Lepisosteus oculatus: one gene and its partners. The protein of the gene in region 1 interacts with the protein of each later gene in a pairwise test. Links are inferred from orthologs where the notes say so. Each region holds a gene or a part of one and is shown on either strand. Other genes may lie near its edges. The genes, in order: necab2, tex11 and ccdc146.

The links.
Region 2: the proteins of necab2 (region 1) and tex11 interact in binary tests that used the Homo sapiens proteins (3 or more experiments, as listed by UniProt). The two-hybrid records come from large-scale screens. The link is inferred for Lepisosteus oculatus from reciprocal best matches to the Homo sapiens genes NECAB2 and TEX11.
Region 3: the proteins of necab2 (region 1) and ccdc146 interact in binary tests that used the Homo sapiens proteins (3 or more experiments, as listed by UniProt). The two-hybrid records come from large-scale screens. The link is inferred for Lepisosteus oculatus from reciprocal best matches to the Homo sapiens genes NECAB2 and CCDC146.

What each region holds. Positions count from the first base shown.
Region 1 is NC_090715.1:4,213,271-4,220,782, forward strand, and holds the start of necab2 (N-terminal EF-hand calcium-binding protein 2), read right to left. Parts: upstream 3,070-7,512; 5' UTR 3,029-3,069; coding exon 2,726-3,028; intron 1-2,725. UniProt on the Homo sapiens protein: May act as a signaling scaffold protein that senses intracellular calcium.
Region 2 is NC_090703.1:50,026,526-50,033,862, forward strand, and holds the start of tex11 (testis-expressed protein 11), read right to left. Parts: upstream 3,091-7,337; 5' UTR 2,900-3,090; coding exon 2,872-2,899; intron 2,427-2,871; coding exon 2,305-2,426; intron 829-2,304; coding exon 744-828; intron 368-743; coding exon 288-367; intron 1-287. UniProt on the Homo sapiens protein: Regulator of crossing-over during meiosis. Involved in initiation and/or maintenance of chromosome synapsis and formation of crossovers.
Region 3 is NC_090702.1:33,919,857-33,927,449, forward strand, and holds the start of ccdc146 (coiled-coil domain-containing protein 146), read left to right. Parts: upstream 1-4,544; 5' UTR 4,545-5,343; intron 5,344-6,402; exon of another isoform or gene 6,403-6,420; intron 6,421-7,593. Other genes in the region: protein FAM185A, read right to left, coding at 161-270, 3,879-4,326. UniProt on the Homo sapiens protein: Essential for sperm flagellum biogenesis and male fertility.

The DNA of each region.
Region 1 (7,512 bases):
ATTGTACTTTAGGAGCATTAAATATGGGGCAGCAGATTGTACAATTGTCACCACAGCCTGAAAGTTATTCCTTTGTTGGAGGCACTTGTTACTGATGAGGTTTAGGATTAACAGTAACTTACATTACAGAGTATCAGCTTTGTGCTGATAGATACTGTAAGTGTAGGAGAAGCCTGGCTCCTTCCTTGTTACAGAACCACTGCTACACTGTACTGTCATCTCTAATTTGGACCTACAGTATAAGATAAGAGATCAGATCACTTTATTGGCCACATACAATTTCTTGCATTAGGAATTCGACATTTCACAGACCCCAGCTTGCTCTCCATGAGGACAGACAGACAGAGAGACAGAGAGAAGCTGGGGGTCAGAGCGCGGGGTCAGCCATTGTACGGCACCCCTGGAGAAGCTGGGGTGAAGGGCCTTACCCAACAGAGTAGGATTCCTCTGCTGGCCGCAGGATTTGAACCAGCAACCTTCCAGCCACAGGCGCAGATCCTGAGCCACAGAGCCACTGCTTCACCCTTTTTAAGACATGCCTGCACAATCCTCTTTACAGGACTACCGGGAGCTCTAAGTCTCAGTCTGTAAATTGCTGCTCATTCTTTCAAACTCTCCACCAGACACTCTTCAATATTATTTCACCCCCACCTGTCTGAGGTGTTCCATCCCTCTGTATGCACACCTGAAGCAAAGTGCCCAGGTCCTCCAGACTCCAGCCCTCACAGGTGACAGCTGAGACAGTGAATGTGTGTGGATCTTTCTTAGCAGAGGAGAGGGGAGAGTTGCGGATGGTGTCCTCTCTCTTTTTGTTTTCTAACTGCTGGTGCTGTGGACAGGACATCTTCCGTCTGCCACTCTCGTGGGAGACTGTCCCATGAAGGACGGAAGAGCTTTATTCCTGCCGGTGGGCGAAGGAGAGGAGGGAAAGGGGCACATGGACGAAGCCATCCACGTCTGTGGGTCTCACCTGGCGAATCACTACCCTGCTGTGGGTGGCATCAGGTTGAATAGGTGGGACCGCAGGTGCTCGGACACTCGTGCGAGAACACACAACTGCCCATCCTCTCCCTTCACTAATGAGATACAGCCTGGCTTGTCTTCTCCAAGACATTATTGAGAGATTACATACAGTAAAAGCCGACCGAGAGAAGACTAATGGTGATTCTCCCGAGACAAATGTGGGCTCTGGACACCTTCTGTCTTCAAATGAAAAAAGATACAGTATGTGACACCTCCCTGTACTTTTAAAAAACGCGAAGAAATAATCAACGTTGCAGAAGTATCAACGCGTTTCTGTTTCATACCATCGATTTGCCAGTGCCTGTCTATCCGGAGATGTGATCCATAATGTTTTTAAACACAATTGCGCGGCTATGCGAGCAGAGTATTCAAAAGAATGAAAGCAAAAAAAGTTGTTTTCGTTTTGTATCAGAATAAAATGCCCGTTTTTGGTGTAAGGCAATTGCTAACAAAAGATACAAAAAGCACTACAAAACATTAAGAAGGGGGCATTGAAAACAACAAAAACAAGGGAAAATAGGTTGAATTAATTTTCCGAGACGCCATTAACCTTTTTAGCTCAAGTAAGAAGTGTTGACGATGTGAGCAGTGCTGTCTTGTGCAGGACGGCCTGGGCTCTGGACAGCGCTGCTGTTATCAAGCCTGGACGGGCGCGCTCAGCGCTGCTCCAGCTGCGGAGAGTTCAGGCTGATCTGTGAAAGTCGCCAAACTGTAGGAACCACAGCAATGTTGTCTGTCTCGGCTTGCTGGGTTCACCCGAGCTGTTAAATGCATTTCTGAACACAGAATCTGACAGTCACTGTACCTTTGCTGATCACACGGCACAGTTATCAGATTTGATCTCATTAGATTTCTACCTTTGTACAGCAATTGAATTGAGGGCACGAGGCCACGTTATCCTATATACTGTAGTGAATTTTAATACGACTCTTTCACGATTCATAATTGCCCGATCAACGCTAGGAGCTCCGCAATAGAATAGCCTTAGAATAGAAGAGAACAAAATATAGCCTTAATTATCTGAAGGGTTCAATTCTGGCGTCTCTTTTTGTCAGATTTCTGTACTTTTTAATTTCAGTTTGAAAACTTCATTGAAATTAAACGTTTAGAATTTCTAGTTTCACCGTGGTTTTTCATATTTAAAGTTTTGAAGATGCACTATTTGACATCTATACCGGTCTCTAGTGTCTTTTGAAACAGTTGTTTAAATCCCTTCCAAAGACAGGGCAAATGACGGAAAACTATTTTTTTATATCCCTTCTTTTCAGCGAAGATGCACTCTAATAGCTTAGGTTTGACATTCGCTTTTAATTTAATACAACAAGATCCCAGCTTTAATATTATGTATACCCCTGTACATGTTTGTATGTTTACGATACAATGTATAAACCTAGAATCTTAAGACAGCCAACTCATCAAACAGTCTACTGCCGGATTCCCGCAAAAGCCTATGTCCCATTTTCGGATCTGTCGGTGCGAACACGCAGAGGCTAGCAAGCGCTGCAAAATCAAAAGCAAATTTCGACCACACTGAGGGTTTTTGTTATCTTTTTTTCCCCCGTTTTATTTTCTAACGCCTCAGACGTGCGCGCCCGCGTTGTGCAAGGGAACGCAGTTCAAACACCCTATCCTACCCCCCCCGTTAGTCTCTCGGACCCTTCCTGCCAGCCAGCACCCCGCTCCGCTACAGTGAGATACCTACATCCAGGATGACGGAGATGCCCTTCCGAGGCTCCGGGTTGAAGAACTGCTCCCGGGCAGCCCCCGGCTCCTCCTTGAGGAATTCTCGGGGAGAGATGTTCTTGTTGTCGCTCATCTTCGTCACTATCCAGCGGACTAGCCCGTCTATTCCACCGAGCTGGGCTCCGCTGCTGCCTGACTGTGCAGCCGTTGCTGTCTCGCTGTTCTGAGCCCCGAGTTTGGGTTGTTCTTTGTGGAGCAGTTTGTGGACGCCGTCCCTGCAGTATCGGGCTGCCTGCTCACACATCCTTTCGCCAGAGAGCATTCATGCTGAGAGCTATGGGGTATTCCCCTCCCACCCCGCTTACATCACCCCGCACACACCCCAAAAACACACCTCTCTCATTTTACATCATTACGACAGGGGGGTAAAAGCTTTTTGACTTGCGATGGCGAGCATTTCCAGCTCATACAACATGAAACGGCCATACAAGCCCCGCAACTTCTGAGAAGTTTCGTTGGCGTTAGTATCGCTGGACACAACCTTTCTAGGCAGTTCTGAAAGCAATAAAAGGTGAGCCCAAGTAGAAACGACACCTTACTGCTTCTGAATTTTTGTTTGTTTTTTAAATTCACGGTTTATTTTGTTTTGCTTAGTTATAGCAATAACAACAATCTGTACCTTTCAATTGCGTTTCATGTCTGAGGGTAGTTTTTTTTTCTTTCTTTTCCGTCGTCTTTACTTGTCGAGTATCAGCGCAGGGCTGTTGTGTAGCTCTACAACAGCAGACTGCGTCCACTCCCCAACTAGGACACTGCAACGCTGAGGATAAAAGCGTAGACCGTGTGTTTTGTTAAGGTTTGTGGCTTAGATAGGTCAGAACAGCTGAACCTTTTCTGCCGAAGAAAATCATAATGTTTTACATTTCCAAAAGCAACTGAACAAATCCACGCATTTCTTTGTCAGGTGTGGCGTGGCTATCAGGACCAGATGACACTAATCTGCGTTCATAGAGCGTTTTCTCCGAATTCAGTGCTTCGGTTCCTTCATTTGAAAAGCTGTCGACTTTAAAGGTGTAACCCGTGAATTTAATAAAGAATAACATTTGCGCGCATAGCAGCTGTATATTCTATCATACGTACTGGTATCTAATGCTTTTCAGCTGTCATTTATAGGTTATTCCTTTTAAGTAAGTGATTACATTTGCAGCAACCCTTTCATGAGTACAGCCCCTTATCTGGAAATTCAGACGCTTTCTGTGTTAGACAGGGGTAGCCAGTTAGACTGTACTGCAAAGACAATGTCAATGTGACGATATCCATGCAAAGGATCAGTGCTTACAGTGGCACTTTCATGAGATACACCACTAAGCCTTCTTCTATCACTGCTTGTACGCTCTTACTCGCTTTTACACAGGGGTATGTGTCACTTATAGCACAACGATGTCGGGGTTTTTAAATAGCCCTTCCTGTACAGTAAATGTAAAATACCACATTACAGTGTTGACACACAGTGTGTGTCCTGTGATTTGTTTCCCCCTTTGTTTTGTATTATAGCTGTAGTGACTTGTGAAGATAGAAGACACATCCCTCTCCAAGAATGTAAGTATCGATAGAGGCAAGGGATGCAGACACCTGTGCCGTTCCCTTTCAAGTCCAGCACTCTCTGAAGAGGACTGCTTCGCCCGCCCAGGGTGGCATTTAAGTTAAAAGGCGCCACGACTCTGCCCTTTCATGCCGTTAATTAACGGACTCCCACCGAGCCCTAATGGCAACTTGAAGCAGAAAGACATAGCTGGCCATTCAGTGAGCTTTCTTCCCAGCTCGGATTGCGTTAGCAGGCGTTGCTTCGACGCTCCGCTCCTGTTGATTCATAAAAAAAAGAAACCAATGGGAAATAAATAAAGGATGCTACACTGACATGGATGTCCCAAGCAATTAGATCCAGGTTTGCTTGGTCAGTGCAGGCAGAGCACGTAAGATAAAACCAACCTAGACCTCCTGCACTCGCTTGGGAACTAAGAGACATTAGCTGAGGGTGTTATATCGTGCATATACTGTAACAAAAGACATTAAACCAGCTAACAGAAGTAATCATACGAGAACAAAAGGCACACAATAATATCGACTTAAAAGTAATGGGCAAAATTCTTCACATGTCAACTGATACAACTGCCCATTATAATATACTGCCGTCAAGCTGAAGGGGGTTGATTGAAATAAAGGCAGAAGAAAGCTTACCCCCTTGATGAGAGCAGCCATTACTGATTTCATCATGCCGGACGCAGACCAAAGCCCTCAAATCGCAGTGAAAACTGAGATTATATATACTGTACTTGTGGAAAGGCTCCAGGAATTGGCTGGCAATCAGGCCAAGAGTGGGTGTCAGTGTTATTAGAGGAGCTGTGCATTTCTTTCTCCCAGGGGGGCTGAGGCCTAATCACAGCGGTGGGGCCCGTTGGGTTTTATGAGCCCAGGGTCTGTGAGGTGTTTTTTAACTCGGGTTCGTCAAACCCACGCTGCCCTGCCAGCCCATGGTGAAGACGTTGCCTGCTCTTGTTACTTCTCAGGCTGGAAAGCCCAGAGGGTAACTGTTATCCAATCAGAGTGCTCCGTCCGGGTGCCGGGCAGAAGGTACAGTGCGTCGCCCACAGGCCCTAGCAGCCGTGATGAAAGCACCCAGAGAGCATCGTGAACTCCCCGAACCAATCGCTTTGTCTGAGAGACAAGCTTGAAACTGACCTTCAGCTTGTGCCTGTTTACTGATCCAGCATCAAGCGAAAACTACTCGCCTGCATCTCAGCAGGGAGGTCTTCTCTTCTGCGTCCCTGTTCCATGATTTTGTTCTTCGTACCGTTGCCAGGCAGTGTCTAATGAGGCCCACCCCAGCTGTAACACAGAAAGCACAATTACAAAGAGCAGAAAATAAAGGAAGCACACCGTGTGTTTCTGTTGGCAAATTCTGCTTCAGAGTTGATAAAAGCATATTGTAGATATCTATGAAGAAAAGCAAAACCCAGAAAAATGATTACTCTTTGGAATCACTAATACGAGAAGGTTAAAAGGAAAACAGGACAAATGACAGAGACAATTGTTGAAAAACAATTGCTGCTGCAAATTACAATTGCAATTACAGTGAAATGATTCAAGACTGAATTGCCTGGAGACAAATCATCAGCTGGCACTTTGGAAGCAAAAGAACAGTGTGATTCTAAAATATCCAAAATGGAATTTATTCACTGAGATATTAATGACCAACATGCTAATCAGACAGCACACTAATTACTGTACGTTCCCGGGAAATTCATTATTCACGCTGAAAAAAGCTGCAATCGCAATGATAAAGGCATACTGTACACCTCATCACTTCAGCCATCAGCGGACCATTGAAACTGAAGTGATGCTTCATCTCCGCAGACAAACTGCTAACCTGTCTGACTCTCAGCTCTCATCTCACTCTGGCAACTTTAACAGATACAGCCCAATGGCACTCTTTCCACTAATTGCTTTTCGCACATGCCAGATTCACAGTTTGCTTTGTTACTTTCACCTCGGAATGGCTCAGAGCGAGCGGTCCCCTTTCTGGGTGCTGTTTGCACCGTTTGCCGTGAGCAACGTCTCCCTTCACAGTGGCCGGTGTTGATCTGCCCCGGTAAAGGGCAGAGCACAGGGGTGACTGCTCTAGACCTGTCAGGGCAGCTGTGCACTGCAGCTGGATGTGAAGATGAGTGGGTGGCTGAGGAGGACAAAAACAGTTGCCCGTGAAAGAAAATGTCAATGAGACGTCACCATCTATCACCGTTACTGTCCACCGGGGGCAAGAGGAGCCCGCTGTGGAGGAACGAGACACAAGACACATGAGAGTGTGGGGCAGTGAGTGAGACAGGGCTCCCACAACCTCTCCAATACATTTCAAGAGGAATAATAACGCTTGAGAATCAGGCGCTTTGTGAATGTTAGGAGTATTTCAAGTGGGATAGTTTGGGGTGAACCTGCTTGGATGAGGGGCAGCCGTCTGGCCAGAGGACGAGGAGGCTGGGATCCCCATCCAGAGTGAGGAGTGACCAAGGGGCAGCTGCAGAGGTGGAGATGGGGTGGAGGAGCTATGCAGCAGACAAAATGGAAAAAACAGGCGTTTTTCACTCATTTTTCATTGTCCTTCCTGAACTTCATTTGAGATCTACCCTCTACACAGCGGGTACTATATCTAGAACAAACAGGCTTTCAAAATGTCACTTTCTGGATTCTATCTAAATCTTCGCATAAACACTGGTGTGAAATATTCATTAAGATATTGTCCATTTCCTTTTCATTAACAGAAATTATCCCATTAGTAAATTTAAGATACTTCATCATTTGCTGTACTTTTGCTGTTGCAATGCTGATTTTATATTTTTGCCTCTATTGCAATATTCTTTTCTGTCTCTCTTGCATTTCTAATATCCTGGTGTTTCTTATGCGTGCCTTTGCTTGTACTCAATTTCTTTCTAAATTGGAAATTGTACTCAATTCATTCTATAAAGTGCTTTCTTTCTTCTTTTACATATTATTAATTTACTTAATTTCCAGGCACTGGTTTTCCTTCTTTAGGTCGTAAATCTGAGTGTTATGCACTTCAAGCAGAATATCTTTAAAATCGTGCTGTCCGTTCTCTACTGATTCCATACCTGGCCAGTTGCATTTTAGTTCTATTAAATTATCTCTTGCATTCAGTCTAAACTACAGTTTCAAAGCACACTTCAAAACACAGCTTAGTACGACCAAAGTTCCCTAAAGGCTCTCTGACCTCTGTTGTCCTCACTCAATTTT
Region 2 (7,337 bases), on another chromosome or scaffold:
TGTGCCCTCTGATTTTTACTGACCACAGAGAGTTGGGTCTTCGGTTTTATATCTCATCCAAAGGACAGTGGCGTTTTACAGTATAGTGTCCTCATTACTATACGAGGGCATCATGACCCACACAGATTGCAGGATGAGCGCCCCCTACTGTTTCTGCTTACACCTCCTCCAGCAGCAACCTTAGCTCCTCCCAGGAGGAATAGTATGTTCTAGCAATGCTAATACAGACTAGACAGACCAGCAAGGTCTGGCATGCGACAGGTCTGCAGGTAAGAGGAAGGACTCACCAGGATTTGTCTGCGAATCGCTCCCTCTGACAAGTCTTTAGTTTCATACGCGTAGGCCAGTCTGCAAGCCACATGACGTACTGCAGCGTATGTTGTACAAAGAGCAGGACCCAAAGACAGCAGTGAATGAAAAACAGTAATGTGTCTAAAAACATGATACCCTGAATATTACTTTAAAGAAAAGAATAAGCTTTAAATTAATCTAAACAGAAAAGGACCACATGTGCAACGTTAAAGCATTAAACAGATTAGGAGAGTAAATTACACTGGAGCCTAGAACCAATGCATCAACAGTACATTACTGAGACAGCAATGCTGGCTATTCAGCTATGAAAAAGATTGGCAAATTCAGCTAATTTGTGGTCTCAATAAAACATTGAAACACAAATCTGAGTACATTGGTAGTTTTTTATAACGCTGATTTAAAATTTCATCTGGAGAGAATGAGTTTGTTACCTTTTGCTCTTTGCTCCTCAGTGATTGCAGAGCCCACATGTTTCGTAACAGCCCAGTTCCACAGCTTAATGGCATGTTCTTCAGCCTGAGAAATTAAAAATACTGTACACACTGTGTGCCTGCATCCTGGTTTTTGAGCACATTGTTTTGAATACTTTTAAAACACTTCCCTTTTCTTTAACAGGCAGTATTAGAATTAATACTTTAAAAGGGCTGTTACTCTGAGTGTTTTTTTATTATAAATAAGACTGATGGAGAGTAAAGAGGTTTTTAAGATGTACAACTGATGTCATTTACTGGATTGTTCCTATCAGATACATTGCACACAAAAAACAATGGCGCTACCACTCCAACCCCACACCTCCATCTCTCCCACTAGAGGGCTCTACCATTCCAGCGCCTCCCCCGTCTCTCCCACTGCAGGGCGCTACCATTCCAGCGCCACCCCCGTCTCTCCACTAGAGGGCGCTACCACTCCAGCGCCACACCCCCGTCTCTCCACTGCAGGGCGCTACCATTCCAGCACCACACCCCCATCTCTCCCACTGCAGGGCGCTACCATTCCAGCGCCACCCCCCCGTCTCTCCCACTGCAGGGCGCTACCATTCCAGCGCCACACCCCCGTCTCTCCACTGCAGGGCGCTACCATTCCAGCGCCACCCCCCATCTCTCCCACTGCAGGGCGCTACCATTCCAGCGCCACCCCCCCGTCTCTCCCACTGCAGGGCGCTACCATTCCAGCACCACACCCCCGTCTCTCCACTGCAGGGCGCTACCATTCCAGCGCCACCCCCCGTCTCTCCACTGCAGGGCGCTACCATTCCAGCGCCACACCCCCGTCTCTCCACTGCAGGGCGCTACCATTCCAGCGCCACCCCCCGTCTCTCCCACTGCAGGGCGCTACCATTCCAGCGCCACACCCCCGTCTCTCCACTGCAGGGCGCTACCATTCCAGCGCCACCCCCGTCTCTCCCACTGCAGGGCGCTACCATTCCAGCGCCACCCCCGTCTCTCCACTAGAGGGCGCTACCACTCCAGCGCCACACCCCCGTCTCTCCCACTGCAGGGCGCTACCATTCCAGCGCCACCCCCGTCTCTCCCACTGCAGGGCGCTACCACTCCAGCGCCACACCCCCGTCTCTCCCACTGCAGGGCGCTACCATTCCAGCGCCACCCCCGTCTCTCCCACTGCAGGGCGCTACCATTCCAGCGCCACCCCCCGTCTCTCCCACTGCAGGGCGCTACCATTCCAGCGCCACACCCCCGTCTCTCCACTAGAGGGCGCTACCATTCCAGCGCCACACCCCCGTCTCTCCCACTGCAGGGCGCTACCATTCCAGCGCCACCCCCGTCTCTCCCACTGCAGGGCGCTACCATTCCAGCGCCACCCCCGTCTCTCCACTAGAGGGCGCTACCACTCCAGCGCCACCCCCGTCTCTCCACTAGAGGGCGCTACCACTCCAGCGCCACACCCCCGTCTCTCCCACTAGAGGGCGCATATCACTCCAGCGCCACACCCCCGTCTCTCCACTAGAGGGCGCTATAAGGCCTTCAGCCTCACCTGCGGCTGGGGCACCTCCCCCGCCAGCTCGCCGTCCAGACGAGCCGCTTCGCCGAACAGTCTGTCGATGAGCCGCTCCGCGCTGCCAGGCGTCTGCTTCTGCACCAGCTCCTCGGTGAGGTCTACGCGTGAATTACATGAATTCACAGACATGAATAGTAAGGAACCTGATGGTACCCTTTTTTATAATATTCGGTCATTTAAAAAGTTCGCTTTTTAAGACCCACCACGAGTTTCTGGAGTCAGTTTTCCTTCTCTAATCTTCTTCATGGCGACATACCATAAAATAACCAGCGACCATAAAATAATACATGTCCTGTACTATGATGTTTTGTTTTTACGGGACAAATGGACTACAAGTTAAAATTGAACTCCCACATTTGAGAAAAAGAAATGATGTCATTAAGCCCATTTGGAATACAATCACAAACAAATCACATCGCGTCCTCGTCAGTGAAACGTGATGTCGTCCCCAAACACGTTTTCCACACATTTTGAATATAAATGTAGTCATATTTTTTTCCCCTCATGAGTTTAAATTAAATTCAGACCGAAAATATTCCTCACCTTTAACCTTCGAGATGAAGTCGTCCATGTCGGTGACAGCTAAAAGAAATATGATGAGTTTATAAGAAAAGGCGCAGCTGTAAAGCTTTTCAAAAGGTTTGCTTGGCTGAAATGTAATAATTAAAACCCCTCTAAAAAAAAGACGCGCAGTTTTAATGTGTTGATATTTTCGGCGTCTCGACCACGGCCGCGAGCTCGCGAGCTGGGCCTCGAGCCTGTCGGCGCCTCGCGCCGGGCCGCGCGCGCGCGCGCGCGCCTGGAGTTCCGTTTCCCCGGGAGTCTCAAAGCAGTTAATCCTCGCTTTCCTTTAAAGTTTAAATGCTAAAAAAACCGGCTTCCATGAATATTGGTCCGAAATTCCACTGATTGTGAAAAGCTTATATCTTCATTATAATTTTAAAATTATATGTTAGAAATTATCCAAGGTTATAAACGTGTTATTATTATTTCAGGTGGGGAGCTGCGTCAGCATCCGTAGGCTGTAGAGGAACAAGTAACAGGTTTATTCACACCTGAAGAAGGCTCCACGGCTGAAACGTTGTGTGTTCTTTCTTCTCTTTTTCAGCATGAAATAAACCTGTTACTTGTATTATTATTATTATTATTATTATTATTGCTGTTGTCAGTATATTATCCCGGAGAAACCGTCTGTATCCAAGTCGCCGCTAGGGGGAGCTCGATCCCGTGTTATCTGTTCTGGCTAAATCAAAAAAAAACTCCGCAAGAACTCACATCAAAGTCTTTTCATTCCAATCCGTGTTTCGAGTCGCGTGAATTGATCGATAAAAACGCCGTTGAAAACATGACTATAATTCTCCCTGGCGTGTGTAAAGCATCTGTCACTGTAGGAGCTACTGGTCTGTTGTTCACAAGGCACTGCTGAGCAAAGAGGCTTTGACCTGCTGCTCATCAGTTGATCAGATCACTTTATTGGCCATATACAACTTAGGGATTTGTCTTTTCACATACCCCAGCTTGCGCTCCATGAGACACACAGACAGAAAGAAGCTGGGGGTCAGAGCGCAGGGTCAGCCATTTATACGGTGCCCCTGGAGCAGCTGGGGTTCAGGGCCTTGCTCAGGGGCCCAACAGAGTAAGATCTCTCTGCCAGCCATGGGATTTGAACCAGCAACCTTCCAGCCAGAGGCGCACAGTCACAGAGCCACCACACCGCCCCTGAATAGCCACTGGACGAGCAGAATCATTGTTAGCCAATGAGCTAAGATTACTTATGAGTTGACATCTGTGATTGTGCATGTTCACAGTTTCACATCAAGGCTCCTGTGTGGAGTGGTTGTGGAATGATGAATTGATCTCATCGCTCTGCGCTCCTCCCCACTGAGAGCTGGTGTGTGGGGAGCAGACTGGAGCATCATCCAGGTGGGGCTGCACACTGGTGGGGATCCCCATGACCTGTAAAGCGCTTTGAGCAGGGTGTAAGGAAAAGCGCTATATATATATGTAAAGAATTATTATTAGATCATATTAGAATAGAATTAGAACTCCGCAGTGTTATAACTTGTCAGACTCAGCTAACTCCGTGACAGCAGACACCCTGTTCTGAATTTCAGACCACACCCTTCTACTCTAAGAGGCTCCCAGTAGTGCCTTGTTTCCTTTTTTAATGGGTGATAACTGGCACACAGGCTGGAAAATGGAAAATGTTTCTGCTGACGTTTGGCGCACGCCGAACTCCATTCATCTCATCTGCGCTGAAGAGGCCCATTGTTCTCCTCTGCCGCCTACAAATGAAAACGCTGTACTGTCAGCTCTTCCACTGAGCTCTGGCTGCTTTTCTTTGGTTGAGCAAGAAATTGTTAGAATATTTTTGGCAGAGGCCCAGCCTATTTATCGTGTCTGTTTATCGTGATCAGAGGTCATTCATTTGGCCAGTTGTGTTGTTTTTTTTTACACCATAGGAAATGATGCTGGCGTCGCATGCCTCCCAAAACCATTTGTATAAAATCCGGTACGCCTGTGGGAGAACATAAAGGAGACAAATTAAGTATCGCTGTTTCGATGCGAAGCCGTGTAAATACGTTTCATGTCTGAGAAGTGTTGGGAACCGGTGCTGACAGATGAGGTATACAACGTGAACTGAGACAGGAATCTTGATGTTCTCCTCCGCCCTCAGCCTGCAAATGTAATTTCTTGGGTCAATCTGGGCTCTGGCCCTGTGTGAGTACCGTTGTACCTGTATTGTAGGGTTAAATATTGTAACGCTTACGGCCGACAGGCACTGTGTAAGAGCCGGCGTACCAGAGCGGTGACGTCGCCGCCCTTCCCTGCGATAGCAGGACTACAGCTACTGGGCTGTGGAGAGATCTCTCTTTGGCTCACCGGGCTGGGTCACTGCAGAGAGACGCGGGAGTCCTGGGTTCCACCGTCGGGGGCTGACTAAATGCGGCAAGGGCGCCCGCCAGAGCCCCCGTTGCGTTACAATATATAAACGGTATAGTTAAGTGCACGTACAGATTGTCATTGAAAGAGTCCAGACCTTGTTTCCAGCTGAGAGATATTTGCTTGCTGTTATAACTTCAACACGAACTACAGCACGTGAATGTATGGCTTCGCGCGGGAAGGGTGTGACTTTCACATTGGCGGGGGTGGGGGGGCAGGGGGGGCAAAGATCAGGGCAGACCCAATCCCGCTGGACGCTGGGGCACTGTGATCGTCCCTGAGGCCTGTGCCTGTGCCTGTGCCATCTGTGCTGGTGCTCGGTGGCACATCTCGGCTTTTGAGCTTCGCAGGTATCAGAAGAAAAGAAGCCCCCCCCCTCCACCTCCCCTCCTGATATGAAACTGAACCTTTCCTTAGCTGCACGCTAGAGCTTCAGACACCAGATGTAGTCTTGAACCAACGCTCAGGAGGAGGCCAAGCCCCGGTCTTGCCTGTTTCCGGCTGCCCACATGTACAGTAAATACCCCGCTCCTCCCACCTGCGAGCTCCATTCTCACCTCCCCTCTCGCACCCTCACCCTTCCTTGCAGCAGCTCCTGGCTCGTCCCTCGCGGGGAGAAGAGGGAGCGGGGGTCCTGTCAGGGTACCCCTCGTGGGCAGCCTGCCGTTCGCTCAGCCAGGTGAGTCACCCCGGTGGAGCAGACCGGCACCCATCCCGCCTGCACTCTGATCTCACTAGGGGACATGCAGGAGCCACTGCAGGTGCACTGGGAATGTCTGGATGAAGTTGCTGGGGTGCAGGACGGAGAACTTGGGCCCCATTCAGAGAGGAGTGACCAGGGGCAGCTGAGGGATGGAGATGGGTTGAGGAGGGATGCTGGAGATGAATGGGGTGTCTGAGCTCCGTTCATGTAGCTAGTTTCTGTGATGATGGTGATCAGGTGCAGCTCAGTGAGGTTGACTTGTCGTTGTTGTCCTTCCCGAACTTCAGTTAATAACTTCCACTCACTGATTCTCGGGACTACTAAAACGACATCAGAAATGAAAAACACAAGTTTGTCTTTTTGGGCATTACTCTCGGTTTAGTTGTGCTCGTTTGCCGTAGGTACTAAAACTATTGCAGACGGCCGAGGTTGTGTGTTAGTGGGTTTCTAACAGGTTACACTGAAAAGCCCGTAAACCAATGAGATCATCATTCTGCTACAATTTTAGCACCGTTCATTTATGACAGAAGTGGAAAGGCTGGCTTTGATTCTACAAAAATGCTTGAAGGAGACTATTTTTAATAAGTCTCAGCTTTGTGGGAAACAGAAGAATATATATGCTGGTAGTATGCATCACATGGAATGAATTACTAAATTTCCTCAATTTTTCTTATACTGTGTAGGTTTGTTTTCTTTAATGGGAAAAGAATTACACTGTCAAAATCTGTCAACCCAAGAAGGGCTCAGGAATCTGGGTGTTTCGCTAAGGAATTAGTTTTGTGTTCTAAACAAAGGCCGAAACGTGTATAAGACATACATTCAGCAGGCATGCCAAAATCTTTGCAAACTGGTGAAACAAGCTTTGTTCGAGAGTAAACATTTAGCTTATTATTGCTCTTGGAGAAGCTTGACATTATTTAGTGAAAAGTAAAAACCTATCGCTGCTCGTTTACGAAACAGCTTCTGGACATTTAAGCACAATAGCAAAGTAATGGCCCTTCAAGAGCTGCTCACTTCTCCCCTTGCTCCCTACTAAAGAATATCCCGCGGACAGGGAGGCAGCGTCTGCTGGCCTCCCTGCAGCCAGGCTGTCCTGCCCCTGCTACGCTCCGTTTGTGCATGTGAGCTGCGTGGTCGGATTAAAGGAAGGGCTTCAAGCTGTGCGAGCAGAATTGTTTGAGCCTCTAAATGGCATTTCGCAGCCCGGCTTCTAAAATAAAACGTCTTGAAGCTCATTCCCCTCAGCTCCCGGCTTCCGCCAATTGTTCGCCTTTCAGTCTTATCTTGCAATCACCGCTGTCCCGGGGGAACTGGCAGGGAGCTGAGGGCCTAATCACGGGAAAAAAAACACCCCTCCAAGGGC
Region 3 (7,593 bases), on another chromosome or scaffold:
GTCAAGGTCAAAATTGGGGTCAGGGTCTGGGTCAGGCCAGGTCATCCAGAATAACTTGTGAAGATTTCAGGGCATAAAAAAAGAAAAATGAGGAGGCAAACTGAACCTTTCCAGCAAAACAGCAGTTGTTCTGCTGACACAGGCTTTTGCGCTGCATTACCTTAATTGACTGCAGGAGGCTCTTTCCCCGCTCTGTTAATACTCTGCAGTTGTCACACTCCATCTTCTGAATCTTCACATTTCCTGCTCCAAATGTTGTAATATGCAGATCTGAGTAGAAACAGAAAATGCACACGTCATGAAATAAAGCCATCAAATTGATTTCACAAAAAAAATCAATGAGCAGAACAACGGAATTGATAACAGTTTTCATCGTTGCTACAGTATGTTGCGGATCCATGTGAAGCTTAATCCCTTGGAGAGAAACACAGATTCGTGATTTTGCAGTACCGCAGGATTTGCCCTCTGCTGTTAGCACACGGTTCCCTGGACACTGCAGTCTCTGCCTGAACACTCCACCTCCTCACATTACAGAAAGGAGCATATTTACAGAATGTTTATAAGAGATTGAGCGAGACATTTCTGAATGTTTTTTCCTTTGTTTGTTCTGCCTGAGAAATGCCGCAGCATTTACCGATTTCATGTACATATTCAATAATTCATTTCTGTTTTAGTTCAACACAGTATCAAGAATACCATTCATCCAAAAAACAAAGTGCAGCCACAGAGGACAATGGAAAAAGTGAGCACCATTTAGTCGTAAAACTATAATTAAAATACAAGTAATAGGTTTATTCCATGCTGAAAAGAGAAGAAAGAAAACACACCATTTTGGCCGTGGAGAAAGAATGAGTTACTAATAAGAAGTAGCCATATGGTCCAGTTACTGTAGCTCGTTTGTTAGGATTTAATAATTCCTTGAAAAGATCCAGGATACCAAAAAATGTGCCTGGGTAGCTTTCAAAGGACTCCCATAACACTTTATGTACTTAAACTTTCAATCAACGTAATTTTTAAAGATTAAACTACATACAACCTCACAAACTACTAGACATGCGTCTTCAGAAAGAGCAATTCTTTCTTTTGGACTAAGAGCTACAGTAAGTAATGAGTCAGTAAAACCTGCTCTACTGCAATGTCAGTCAAGGCCCTGTGCTTTCCAAACTGGACTCCTGAATCTCTAAGCTGGTTTCCTTGCAATAGCAGCCCTATCCAGACCTCTCCTGCTCATGCTAATTTCACCTCTTTACCTCAGAACCTGCAGCTCTTGCTCTCCAGACTCTTCACTGTCTATACTGTATACCTATCGCTGGCCAACCACCCCCCTGTCCTCTGTGTTGGGTGTGATTGCGTCTTTCCTCCATACCCTTGCCTCCAAGTGCTGAAATCATCTCTAGCTACCTTCTATCACCTCCTTCGAACCTGGAATTCACTAACCTGATTGCAGTTCTGAATTAAAACCTATTTTTAACTGCAGCAGTGCTATACTTCATATCACCTGCCCCCAGCTAGAGGATCAGATTCCACCTTTCCTGACCTCCCTCTGTATACTATCTGCAGTGTGTGCAATGGGTGACAGGAGGGCAAATATTGAAGGTGAAAAATGAACGGTTAGTTTTATTTTGGAAAACATTGCTTTTATTTTTGAAGGTGAGCAATGTTTGCATTAAAATGAGCCCATAAAAGTAAGCAGCAATTCACTGTTACACTGGGTGTAAAGAGATCTGCAAACCATTCTTGAGCCTGGACACCTCTAACACACAGCTAACAGCCGACAAATCAGCAGGAAATGTCCTGGCCTTTATATTCAATTAATCAGTCTGGGATCTCTGAAGGCAATGTTGTGTTGGCACTGCTGCCCAGCAACTCCTTTAATCTTGTGGGCAGTTCAGACAACAATTTTATAATTCCCTGACAGGTTTTAATTGTTTTGTTTCTTTATATATTACTATAAAACGTATAACTGCTTAACCTTATCCCCCTAATTATTGCCTTTCAGATTGTTGATCTGATAAGTCTTGTCGAAAGTACTGTACATGATAGGGAACGGGGTAAGATGGTATCCATGCTATGCACAGGCTTGGGCCTGACTCTAAATTCCTTCAAAACAAAGTGCTACAAAATTTGTCATTGCCAGGTTTCAAAAAGAACACTGCTGCCCTGCAATCAGCAAACTGCCAGGTTAATATATAACTGGCTTTTGGAGTAAAAAAAGCTATTTAACTATATACAGTACAAATCTGTATTTGTAGGGAACTGCTTTCACAATATCCTCCAGGTAAAATGGGAAGACAATGTTTTACTGTAATGTTTTACCAAATGATGTGAGTAAATAGGTCCACTGCCCATCAGAGCTGCTGCAAGTAGCTACCAGTTCACAATTTAAAACTGGCAGGCCACTGAAGCTAGGCAGGTGTGAGCCTGGTCAGTACCTGGATGGGAGACGTCCTGAGAATTCTAAAGTTGCAGCTGGAAGAAGTGTTAGTGGGGTCAGCAGGGGGCGCTTACCTTGCAGTCTATGTGGGTCCTAATGCTCCAGTGTAGTGACTGTACTGTAAAAAGATGTCATCCTTCGGCTGAGATGTAAAACCGAGGTCCTGACTCTCTGTGGTCATAGAAAATCCCAGGGTGTTTCTCGAAAACAGGAGGGGGGTTACCCAGGCATCCTGGCCAAATTTCCCATTGGCCCTTACCAATCATGGCCACCTAATAATCCCCCTATATGAATTGGCTTCATCACTCTGTTCTCCCCACTGATAGCTGATGTGTGGTTCTGGCTCACTATGGCTGCTGTCGCATCATCCAGGTGGATGCTGCACATTGGTGGTGGTGTAGGCCAGTCCCCATTACCTGTAAAGCGCTTTGAGTTCAGAAAAGTGCTATATAAGCGTAAGGAATTATTATTATGAATTATTATTAAAACGAATGGACATTAATGAAGGGAACAGATGTGATAGGACTACTGAGAGACTCTGATCAACGAGTGATGAACTACTGTAGCTAAAAATGTATCAACGGAAGAAGAATCGCCTTAGTTGAAACACGATAAGGTTAGAAAGAAATGAATCCCCAAAACAAGTCAGCTCAAGTCTAGAAAAACTTGGACTTAATGATTTAATGGAGAATTCTCCCTACTGATTCTGAAAATTCAAAGATAGAAAGAGCATACAGAACAGCAAGCACCACGAAAAAAGACCTCCCTGTTTGCCAAGACAGGCCGAAAGGAACAGACAATAATTGTTCTGCAATACAACAGTAAAAACGATTAAGGTGGAAGTAAATATTTTACAAAATAACAGATAAAGAGCAAAAGTGGATATAATAAGAATACATCTGTAACCTGTCAATGCTATAAGGAGTGCCACTAGCATTGAGTGATTTTAGCAGAACTGACACTGAGGTTTTAGGGCTGGGGCAGCTTAAAACTAAGAAATTAACAGCACTTCACTATTCATACAGAAGAAAATGATGGGCATTATCCATAGCCTCTTAGCTTGGATATGTTATGTAATCTTAAAGGACACCATAACCACGGACTGAATAATTATGCTACTTCACAAAAGGAGAATACGGAACGAGGAAATTTCAGATCTGAAGTGCACAAAACCAGTCCTGAAGAGGTTTCTGATTTTCAAGCCCTTAATTACTGACCTCATTATTTTCTTAATAGGACAGGCTGAATCCATTCCTTGTTTTTGGGAAACCGGAGACTAAGGAGATCTATAACAACTGCTGGACAGCCCTGCTATAGAGCAATTGTCGAGAAAGATGGACCCAGTCGTTTCCTCTCATTTGCAACCTGTCTCGAAACCATCTATTAAACGGAAGTCCTTCATTTGTTATCCTTTTTATTAAAGCGTATTTATATACATACTCACCACTTTTAATTGGAGCAGTCACTTCCACAGACACGTTACTATTGACCTTTTCTGACAAAATCAACAATTCCCTTTTCTGTTCGTAGTACTTGACATGAAAGTTGTCTAGTTTTAGTCCTTGATCTGCGCTGGTGCCATGAACAGTTATGAAAGCCCTGTCTGCCTCCGGGAAAGCGTGGAGGTCCAGGGGTCGTACAGACACATTGCAGGGCAACTGGACTCTCACAGTACTGAAGGGGTTGACTATCAGAGTCCACTGTTTCAGAGGCTTGTTCAACTCACGGGCGGGACTATGAAAACAAGTTGTTGTTGACAGTCCTCTGAACGCGTACAAGAAAAACGCGTTCGAAAAAATATTTGTTTTATAGTTTGTGAGAGCTTTCCATCGCGCAATCTCCTGGTACAGTCCACGGAACAATTTCTGGGATACAAAATAGGAAACAATCATGTCTGCTTCTTAAATCTATAAAAGAATAAAAGAAATTTAGAGCAAAACATGCACACCACGAGTTTTTTCCAAAACATTGAAAAGCGTCACACAGACCTCCCCGGACATGGACAGAGAGTGCTTCTGGGATTTGGAGTTTTAAGCATGTTAAAATATTAACAATGTCTGCTCGAACAAAACTTTAAAAAAAACGATTTGTAACAATACGATTTATAAAATAGTTATGTTTAATTATTTTGAAAAAATACTATATTTCATTTTCAGTGTGATAAATGTGATACTTAATTTTGGATACAACAATTACCGTGATGGTACAGAATGACTACAATGACCATATCGCCTTACAAATACGTTTGCAGTCTCGTCTCTTTGTCGACATACTGACAGACTAAGGTTTTTCAATAAAGCTACTACACAATTTCCCTGACAGGACAACAAGGAATGTCCGTCTTCGCTCCACGCCTTTTTAAATAAAGAAACAATAATACAGGCTTCCAGTATTTTTACAATATTGGCATAGAAATGCCAGATCAGTAACAAGTGGCACCTCCTTGGCCTTCACGTTAGGGTTCTGGAGTAGTAAGAGATTTCTTTACAACAGTGAATCATTTTTTAAGAGTTTAAAGTGCCTTTTACTCTAACAGTACATTTCGGACCGCTTCAAAACATTTGCCTGTGTCTTTATATATGAAAGAATAAAGGCGATAACACCTTCGACTAAACCATAGGCTATACTTCGGGAGATTTTTTGGGATGGTCGCTTTCATTGGCTGCTGTCTAGACTGGCACTTCAAATACCAACCAGATTCAGAAAAGGCTTTGATTGCGTGTTGTCATGGAAACGCAGAAGCAAACTCCGGCGAGGCCGAGATTGAGTAGCAAACAACTCGAAGATCTAAAGACACTCACCAGGCTTTTAAAAAATACATATTTGCAAATATTTTCTTTCATATAGGCTTAACCAGGAGACTGTAAACATAAACATAGGGTGGAAGGTGCTTTTGAGCGTTTCCCCAGGTAAGACATTTTAAACAGATTAGCCCTTTTGAAGCTGTCATTCTCTTAAAATAGTCATTATTGGTAGGTGTTTATTATTTATACTGTATGTATTCAGCGCAGAAAAAAAAGTTTGATTATAACGCACTGAATAAATTAAGATATGCATCCATTTTATCACACGTTTACGTAACGGAGAATTTACTGGAGTAATGTGTGTGAGTTTACCATGCTCACGGGTATAATAACACTGACGTGTCGGTGGGGACTCCACAGCCGCAGGTTCCACATGCTCACCACTCGCTCCACGAGGAGCTTGGGGTTCTGTGCGCCCTTAAAGTTTTAATTGTGGAATTAAAATGAACTTCATCGAGCTTCTTGTTTTGCATGACTGACGCTGTTCATCTCAAATGTAAAAAAGTGAGGGTTGAGACGGCGCTTTGAAATGGATGGGCTGTGCTCTTTTGATAATCTGATCACCAGTTTAACGTATCTGACGATTAGTAAGCTTTCTTTAATCAGCTTTATTTAATTGGCTAAGGTTATTATTAACGTAATTATTTATGTTAACAAAATAAGTGTTTATTAATATTACGTCACTGTGAAAAAGTACAGTAATTGCTCACGAACAACACAGATGCAGTATGTGCACCCATAACGTGGATGCACTGTAATACCGTTCTTCAGTATCTGTTTGCTTCCAGGAGGTGGCAGTAAATGAGAACTGTTTGAACACTTGCACAATGTTAACACGTATGCCGAGATCGTTGGGGATCATATCTGCAATACGTCAAGTAATCTCAAACGAAGTGTTTACTGTGCTGTAAGGGTTAATGAAAGCAAAATGCGATTTCTTGTATATTAACGCCAGTCCCACCTGAATGTCACTTTAATTGTTTTTATTTTCTTTTCTAAAGGTTCGCAGTGGTAATTGCAAAATTGATGAAGGTCTAAAACTACGGTGTTTGAAATTAACTGTGATTTTGTAAATGTTTACATCTGCATTACTTGTATAATGTTATGCTGAATTATTTAAAATACCTGAAAAACCGAGACTACATGTTTACACATGGCATTTTGGAGAGTACTTATGTTATGGTAAGTTTTTCTTAAATCACGCATTGTGCATTGTTTAACAAACACCAGTTATTGGTTAATTTAAATCTAGAGGATTGGATTAATTTTAACAGTGATGGCAAAACATTTGCATATATATACTGTATGTGTTCCGACACCACTGCAGTTTGAAGACATCCAGTCGAAAAAAAGTCCAGTATTATTCAAACTTTAAAATCACTATTTTCTGAATATATAGCTTTCAACAAAAGCCAAGATGTCCGGACTCTTAAGGATGTGTTCTACACTAGTAGGCAGCCCGTTGAGCAGAGCTTGCAAACGGATGACATTAAGACTGTTAGTATCTCGTCTCATCCCTCGCTTGCTCTGCATGAATCATGCTGTACCAACCGCTGCCTTCAAACTGACGTTTTTGGAATCGTTTTTGCAGAGACTTAACGAAATGAGGAATCCCCTCTTCCCACATTCAATCGCACTATTCAATAATACGCAATTGAATGTTTATGGGCAAGTGCAATTAGTGGATATTTGCAAAAATGAAGGGGTATGTGCAATTACAGGGGCTCGAGCTGATTGAAGAGTGAGTCAATTTACAGGTTCTGGTAAATTGCGTGGATTCCTTTAGGAGTGGTGTGTAATGACTATGTACAGTATGTGTTGATTTGCTTTATTTAATGTTATATTTATCTGTTCTATTAGTATGTGTTTTGTATCTCGGTGTATAAAACTAGCTGCTTGGATGTAAACAAATTTGTGAGAAATCAGACAATAAGGTATCACATCATATAATGTAAATCATATCATATGTAACATACATTTATGTGAATTTTGAGCAACAGTTATACATTTACTTCTGCATATTCATTTTGCAGTATTCCACTGTATGTTCCATTTTCCTGTTTCCTCTTTGATGAACTGGAATTAGAGTATGGAGAAGAAAGAAGTAAAGGAGATTTTGTACTTAGCTGAGCCATGATACGTAATTTTCTCTCAATACTGTTAACACCAAAGCACTTAATTTATATAATTGTATAAGGCTGCCTTCATTAAAAAGTATGTCTGCCAAATTTTCATTAAAACCGACCACACTGAAACACTGAATGATCATGGTGAGACCTGGAGGTGGGCCAGAGTTTAACGAACCCATTCTTCTTAAATCAATGTTCCGCTGTGCAGTGGGAACCTTAATGGGCA